2 linked regions of the Canis lupus familiaris genome follow. The protein of the gene in region 2 interacts with the protein of the main gene of each other region in a biochemical or structural test. Links are inferred from orthologs where the notes say so. Each region holds a gene or a part of one and is shown on either strand. Other genes may lie near its edges. The genes, in order: CYCS and COX4I2.

What was found.
Region 1: the proteins of COX4I2 (region 2) and CYCS form a complex in vitro, tested with the Homo sapiens proteins (4 studies listed by BioGRID). The link is inferred for Canis lupus familiaris from reciprocal best matches to the Homo sapiens genes COX4I2 and CYCS.

What each region holds. Positions count from the first base shown.
Region 1 is NC_049235.1:38,664,080-38,667,989, reverse strand, and holds the start of CYCS (cytochrome c), read left to right. Parts: upstream 1-1,466; 5' UTR 1,467-1,592; intron 1,593-2,673; 5' UTR 2,674-2,681; coding exon 2,682-2,850; intron 2,851-2,974; coding exon 2,975-3,123; 3' UTR 3,124-3,910. UniProt on the Homo sapiens protein: Electron carrier protein. The oxidized form of the cytochrome c heme group can accept an electron from the heme group of the cytochrome c1 subunit of cytochrome reductase.
Region 2 is NC_049245.1:21,625,062-21,628,971, reverse strand, and holds the end of COX4I2 (cytochrome c oxidase subunit 4 isoform 2, mitochondrial), read right to left. Parts: coding exon 3,797-3,910; intron 2,813-3,796; coding exon 2,681-2,812; intron 553-2,680; coding exon 416-552; 3' UTR 311-415; downstream 1-310. UniProt on the Homo sapiens protein: Component of the cytochrome c oxidase, the last enzyme in the mitochondrial electron transport chain which drives oxidative phosphorylation.

The sequences.
Region 1 (3,910 bases), on a different chromosome or scaffold from region 2:
TAAATAGAATAGAATAGAAAACCGAACTGCAGAATTATCATTGTTCTCAACTAATTCCCTCAGGTATTGTGAGTAAACTGCAAATACTGTGTGTCTCTTCCAAACTTGAATACATAGATATTATAAAACATAATAGGTGTGATTTCTGTTTCACAGGATGCTTTTGTGGCCCTAGTGTGTGCAATTAGAGGAAACTCGAAATCAGGACGTAGAAAACAATAAAAAAATAATCCGGTCGTATAGAGAGATGGATGGTCTGGAGCAGAAATCATGGTACCCGTGGTCTGGAAGGGGTGTAAGGTAATCTAGTTAAGTTTACTGCTTAACTTGGGAGTAGGAAGAAGATGGCTAGAATGTAAGCTCCACCAGAGAAAGAGTCCTCCACGATCTACTCCAGGTAAATAATATGCATTCAATAAACACTTGTGAATGAATAACGGCAGTGCTAGAACACGAGAAAGGAGGGGGAAAACCCATTCACAACTCGGGGGCTGAATTAGCGGGGGCAAGGGAGTCCAGAAAAAATATTTGCCAGGGACAGAACCGAGCATGTCTGGAAGGAGAGCTAGTTCTGGAGGAAAAGGATGATCCCCGGAAGCTGTGGTTATCAAACCTGCCTTTGTCATATGACCCCAACCGCATTACATCTTACTTGAACAGGTCATTCGGCCTAGGTTAGAGGAGATGCAAATCCTCTCTAGGTTTCCAACAATGCTCTAGCCCCTTGACAAGGCTCCTCGCTAGCGCCTGCACATCCTCCTTGTTCCGCACAGAAACGCAAGGGAGACGGGTGTCGGCGGAAAAGCCGGCAGCTGTGGGGCCCGAGCTACAATCCAGCTTCCGCCGCAGCTACGGCAGCTTCCCTGCGGCAGACCCGGGGTGTCCGTCAAGGGGGGGATGTCGAAGTAGCAGAGTGAAGGCGAAGCGGTACGTCGGGAGCTCAGGTCCAACTCTCACAACTCCGGGTTCCAGGCGATGCTTTGGGGTGCGGCTGGCGGCAGCCGCGAAAGCAGGACAGAGACTGCGGAAAGGCCGCCAGCTGCACGGACAGCAGCCAGGAGGCCTCTACGTGCGTCAGAGTTGGGGCGTTCCCCTCCCGGCAGGCAAAACGCCCCCCCCGCCCCCGCCCAAAGCGCATTACGTCAACAAGCCCAAGAGCAGTTACCTTAGCACAACAACGCCCTCCATCCACCACGCGACTCCGCTCCACCCTCCCCTTGGGGATACGCATGCGCAGAAAGGCAGGACGGCGACGTCAGCCCTTCCCGGCACCGCCTCGTTGTCGTACATCCAGGGGCCTGTCGTAACTGCCGGCGGGAGAGCAGAAGGGCACCCGCGCGGCACACCCTACCCTGCTGGCCGGCCTCCGCGCCGGTCGTTAACGCAGGCCCTGGAGACTGAAGCCAATGAGGCGCGGTGACGTCACTGCGTAGCAGGCCGCGCAGCCGCAGGGCGGGCGGCGAAGGGACGGATCGAGTTCGGTTGCACCGACACCGGTACTTAGGTGCGGAGCGGCGTGTCCTTGGACTTAGAGAGCGGGACGTCCGGCTTGCGAGCGGGCTTCTTCGTTTCGCGCGCGCGACAGAAAGGCGGTGAGCGCCGGGCGGGAAGCCGCAGCACGGGGACGCGCGGCTGTGTCGAGGGGTGCGCGCCCTGGCCGAGGCCGGCGCCCGGGTTCGGCGAGTGGGGCGCACCTGGGGCGGGAAGGCCAGGGGTGACCCCCCCCGCCCCGCCTGGGGCCGGCCAGAAGCCGGTGGGCTACGGCTGGAGACGGGGCGGCACGCCGGCTGGGACGGGGAGTGGGCTCGATCAGGGCCCTTAAAGCCCGGAAGCCGCCTGGATGCTGATCCAACCCAGACCGAGGCCCGGGGGTCTCGTAGCCGGGGCCCAGGGGCTGTGGAAGTGACAGACTTCCCGGGATGAGGGCGGGAATGTGGGGGGCTGCGCAGCGCCCCACGGCCTCCTGCAGAGGCGGCCGGAACTACCGCTCCTGCAAAAACGAGCCCTTTTTCTTCCGAGTCACTTGTCGCTTTTCCCCCCTTAACCTGCCTAGGCATCTCGGGAAGGCAGGTGCCCTCCGTCTCCTTGAAAGCCTGATTGGGTGACCTCGTGGGCGTCTCCAGAGAGCCCAGAGCTGGAGGACGGACGGATGGGAGACCTCCCACCCGCACCGCAGGGCCGTTTATACCGGCCCGAGCAGGCTGTTAGCAACCACAGGACTTGGGTTTTGTAAATGTATTTTCACTGATCAGAGGTGGCTTCACATTGCAGTCTGATTAAATAGGCTTTCTTAAAAGCTGAAAGTTTTGGTAGTTTGGTAGTTTTGGTTTAATGTAATCATGGTTTTCGACTTGACTCAGATTTGTGACTTTCTGTGACCTTGACCTCAAACTTTTGAAACCGTTTTTGAACTAGGTTCCCACTTTGCTTACTTGGGCTTTAGTTCTATCACTCGAATACACATAGATGTGTATTTAGGGAAGTCGTTCCAGCTAGTGGTTTTTGGTACCTAGAGAGCCAGTCGCCAGCACACTAAGTAAAACCAGATTCGCCCTGGTGATTAATACTCTAGATTTGCAATGGGTTAGTAATTCAGTCCCTGGAGCGACCACTGGTTGGTTTTCACTGGATTTTTACTCGGAGGAAAAAAGTAATGGAGTCTTTCATTTTTAGATTGAAAAATGGGTGATGTTGAGAAGGGCAAGAAGATTTTTGTTCAGAAGTGTGCGCAGTGCCATACTGTGGAAAAGGGAGGCAAGCACAAGACTGGGCCAAACCTCCACGGTTTATTTGGGCGGAAGACCGGTCAGGCCCCTGGATTTTCTTACACGGATGCCAACAAGAACAAAGGTAAGGGTCTGGGAGGTGGGGGATCAGTTATTAAATAACAGAAGCACAATTTCATGAATATAACCAATGGTAAGCCCTTTATCAGGAGTGTAAGATACTTAACAATACGTCCCTCCTTGTTTAGGCATCACCTGGGGAGAGGAGACCCTGATGGAGTATTTGGAGAATCCCAAGAAGTACATCCCTGGAACAAAAATGATCTTCGCTGGCATTAAGAAGACAGGGGAAAGAGCAGACTTAATAGCTTATCTCAAAAAAGCTACTAAGGAGTAATAGTTGGCTATCGCCTTATTTATTACAAAACAAAAATGTCTCATGACTTTTTTTTTATGTGTACCATATTTAAATTGATCTCATTGACCAGAATTCAGATCATGAGTGGCTGATAGAAGGTTTCTCTTGGACAGTCCTGATTTAAATAAGATTGGCTTGTGGTTAAATGAATATGATCAGTTTTTTGAACTTTGATAGTAATTCTGGTTCAGCAAGTGCTCTCACTGTTTTCCCCTTCTAAAAAATATGATTGGAATTGATTAGAGATGTGTAGCTTTTCACAGAGATGGTAAATGCCACCTCTAAATTTATAGATTGGTTTTATATTTAGATTTATATAACGGGTTATATTAATATATTTAAATACTGAGGAAATCCCTTCACTCTCAGAACAGCAAGACTCAGCTGTGTTTCAAGTTGTGTTCCCTAGCCTGTTAAAGGCAATGGCTGAAGATAAGCTGGCAGTGTCCACTTTATCTTTTTGGTCTTAACTATGCCAATTTAATTAAAATTCTTTGCATCTAAAATGTTGCCTTTTGCTAATTGAAAGGCATTTTAGTGTGGTTTGTGCGTAATATTAAAATTTTAACACTTGGGTTTTATACACCTGTAAGGTCAGACGCTTTTAAAATTTAGTGTGAGGAGATACAGCAGCAGACTTGGCTTGTGAATTCTTGACTAAGACTACGTTATTATTCAGGATTGTCTTCTAAACAGCTATTCAGTGACACAAATGTGGAATTAACCATGTATGTATGATTGGTAATGGTGCTTTTGCCAACTCCTT
Region 2 (3,910 bases):
GGAGCCTGCTACTCCCTCTCCCTCTGCTACTTCATCTGTTTGTGCTCTCTCTCTGTCAAATAAATAAATAAAATCTTTAATCTTAATTATGGAAAAATAATTGACTATATAAAGGAGTGTCCTCCCTTTCCTAATGCCACATATCCGTTAAGACTAAGCCCTAGCCCCTACTCCTCCAGGAAGCCCTCCCTGACTGGCTGGGCTCTGGGCCCCTGGAAAATGGCTTATTTTTGCCCTTCCTTCACCACACTGCTCAATTTTAGGTATCATGTAGGGTTTGTGGCAGGTGAAGAGTGAGGTGGAAACTGAAGACAGAAGAGCTCAGGCCAGCTTTATTGGGGTTAAGAAGAGAAAAATTCCCCCCACACGCTCTAGGCCAGGGTGGAGCTGCAGGGAGGGCAACCTGGATGCCCAGTCACTTCTTCCACTCCTTCTTCTCATAGTCCCACCGAGAGGCCAGGCCTTGCACAGGGTTACCCTTCATATCTAGGATGCGCTGGAGCTGCTGGGCCTTCCATTCATCCGTCAGGGTGATGGGCTTCTTTGGGAACACTGCAGGGAAGGCAAGGGGTGGGGACAAGGATGGCTCAGGACCCTGAAAGTCTTCCACCCTGTCCCCCTGAGCCAGGGTCTCCAGGCACAGGGTTAGGAAATCCTGCACCAAGATACTCCACCCTATCCACCCTATCTGTTCCCACACCAGACTTCCTGCTAAAGCTTCACTCCAGAGATCTCTGTATTATGGTCCTGGCTCTGCCTTAGACTCACTGTGGAAATTGGGCTAAGGTCCTTCCCCTTTCTGAGCCCACTTCCTTACTATTAAAGTCCAATGGAATAGGAGCACTGATTCAAAGTTGGCCTGGATCCAAATCCTATCTCCACCCTCCCTTGCTGTGTGACCTTGAACAAGTCACTTCATCTCTCTGAGCCTGTTTCCTTCCCCATCAAAAACAATTCCTATCTACTAGGGCTGTAGGGATTGAGTGAGTTAATATGTGTAAAGCAACTGGTACCATGTGGGACAGATATTAAGTACCTAATATATGGTAACTACTATAATTACTAAGTTTGCTCCCACTGACTGGGAAGGGCCCAGGATGGGTAGTTTGTTTTTTTTGCTTCCTTAGAGGGTTGGAAGTAGGAGGTGAGGAAGGGAGGCCTCCTTAAAAATCTAGGGAGGGCTGTACTTAACTAAAAGGCTGAAAGCCCTCAAGAGGCATTTTAGGTGCCTTGATGTGCGAGTCAGGGAAGGCATGGCAGTGGAGCTCCCCACACTGCTCATACCTTGCTCCCTGGTCCATTGGTCCCTGAGGCTGACTCAGCCTGTCGGACCTCCTCACTGGTACTTTCTATCTCGGTGGATAGGAAAGAAGGAAAAGATCCTTATGGCACCTGCCAGCACCAAACACTGGGGTAAACTAGAATTTTTCCCAAAGGCTCCCTCATTTCATCCTCACGCAAGAAAGGAATTCCCATGACACTCTTACAGAAGAAGAAAGGTGAGGCCAGTAGAGGTGAAGAGCTGGGGCACAGCCTGCCAGCTGTTTCCTAGCATCCTCTCCCCTTCTCCCAGAGCAGAGCTTCTTAAAGCTGAGTGGGCATCAGAATGACTTGGAGAGCTCATTAAAACACAGATTGCGGCAGCCCGGGTGGCTCAGCGGTTTAGCGCCGCCTTCAGCCCAGGGCCTGATCCTGGGGACCTGGCATGGAGTCCCACGTCAGGCTCCCTGCATGGAGCCTGCTTTTCCCTCTGCCTGTGTCTCTGCCTCTCTCTCCCTCTCTCTCTGCCTGTGTCTCTCATGAATAAATAAATCTTTTTAAAAATCTTAAAAAAAAAAAAACAGATTGCTAGGCTCCACCCTAAGAGTGTCTGACCTGGTAGATCTGGACTGGGGCTGAGAATTTGCATTTCTAAATGTTCCCAAATGATGGCGTTGGTCCAGGGACCGCACTGAGAAATCACTCTTCTGTAGTCATAAGCAGTTAGCAGGGGATGTGACCATCTAGCTAAAAACTATATTTCCCAACTTCCCTTGCCGCTAGACATGGTCATGTGATCATTTCTAGCCAAGAAGAGGTAAGCAGAAGGGATGTATGCAACTTTTGGATCTTAAAGAGGAGTGCATCCTCCCTTTCCCTGTTCTTGGCTGGAATGTAGGCTTTAATGGCTGGAGTTGGATCAGCCATCTTATATGGCAAGAAAGGAAGCTGCATGTGAAGAATGGCACCACCAAAGGAGCCTGACACTGCAGAGTCTCCATACTCTCCCTGGTCTGTGAGAGGAACAAAACCTGTGTCTTGCTTAAGCTCTTATATGTTGGGGACTTTTATTACAGAAAAAGTAATGATTAATAACAGTAATCAGCAAGAGCACCATTCATGATTATGTGCCAGGCCCTGGCTCACAGCTCTCTCTCTCACTAACTCCTTACAAGAACACTGTGGTGCGGACACTAGTATTTTCATTTTATAGATGAAGGAATTGAGGCCCAGAGAGGTAAAGCTTCTACGTCCCAACCCAGGCAGCCATGCTCTGCCCTTCACCCTACACTCTTTGGGGGGCTTTTCAAAACTCTTCAGATAAGTGCCAGCATAGTTGCCTTATAAGAGCTTGCTTATAAGAGCTCTGACCACAAGGGCATGGCCCAGGACTGCAGCAAGGTGAGGTGTTGCCACTCACCATAGACCCGCTGCCACCAAATCAGCAGAGCTGTGAATCCAAAAAAGAAGAAAACGCAGCCCATCACTGTCTTCCACTCGTTGGAGCGACGGTTCATCTCTGCGAAGGTCTCATGGAACTGGAGGCGATACACTGGAGGCAGATGAGGTTGTGGGGAAGTAAGGGCCTTGGGTATATCCATTCCAAGGACCCTGGGCCCTCCTCCTCCTGCAGCAGATGCTGCCCATTCAGCAAATTCTTACTGAGCATCTACTGTATGCAAAGCTTGGCCAGGAGCAGGCTCCAAAACTTGGAGTTATTTACGGGCATTTCTGTTGGGCAGGACACATCCTTCCTGTTTCCCAGGGTCAGGTCCCTGCCCTCCCATCCACCTTAACTGCCTCTCTGCTCCATCTCCCTGCACCACTCAGTGATGTCCACGATGCTCCATGCTTTCCTGCTTCCATATCCCTCCCCATGCTGTTGCCACTACCAGGCAACACCCTCCTCCTCACCATTCAAGGCCAGCCAGCACATGCCCTCCTCTGGGAGACCTACCAGGATTCCATCTCTCTCTCTTTAGTGTCCTCACAATCCCTTGGACACACCTCACCCTGGCCACAAAGCCTGTATTACAGTTTTCTGGGTTTATGTCAGTTCCCCCATTGGCTGGGAGCACCCTGAGGGCAAGAACCATCAAGGTGATTCACTCCTGTGTCCCCAGCATCACCTAGCATCTGGCTGTGCACAAATAGTTGACTGAATAAAAGAATAAATGAGCAAATGATGACTTTCATCCCTCAGGTATGCATTTAGATGTTTTGGGATTTCTGGCTGTCTTGGGCAGGGGCCCTTCTTCTTCTTCTTCTTCTTTTTTTTTTTTTTAAGGCTTTATTTATTTACTTATTTATTTAAGAAAGAGGTAGGGGAGGAGCAGAGGGGGAAGATGAGGGAGAGGGAAAGAGAATCTCAAGAAAATGCAGGGCTTGATCTCATGACCCTGAGATCATGACCTGAGCTGAAATCAAGAGTCAGAGGCTTAACTGACTGAGCTGCCCAGGTGCCCTAGGTGGGGGCCCTTCTTTTCAAAGTCACCACCAGCCCACTCTCCCCAGCCAGCCCCACCCTGACACCTACAGGCCACCTTCTCAGCATGGCTCAGCTGGGTCCAGCTGCCCTTTTCCTTCTCCTTCAGGGCCCGCTGCTCAGCGTTGAGCTCTGTGCAGAAGGGCTCATCAGGCATGGGGTAGG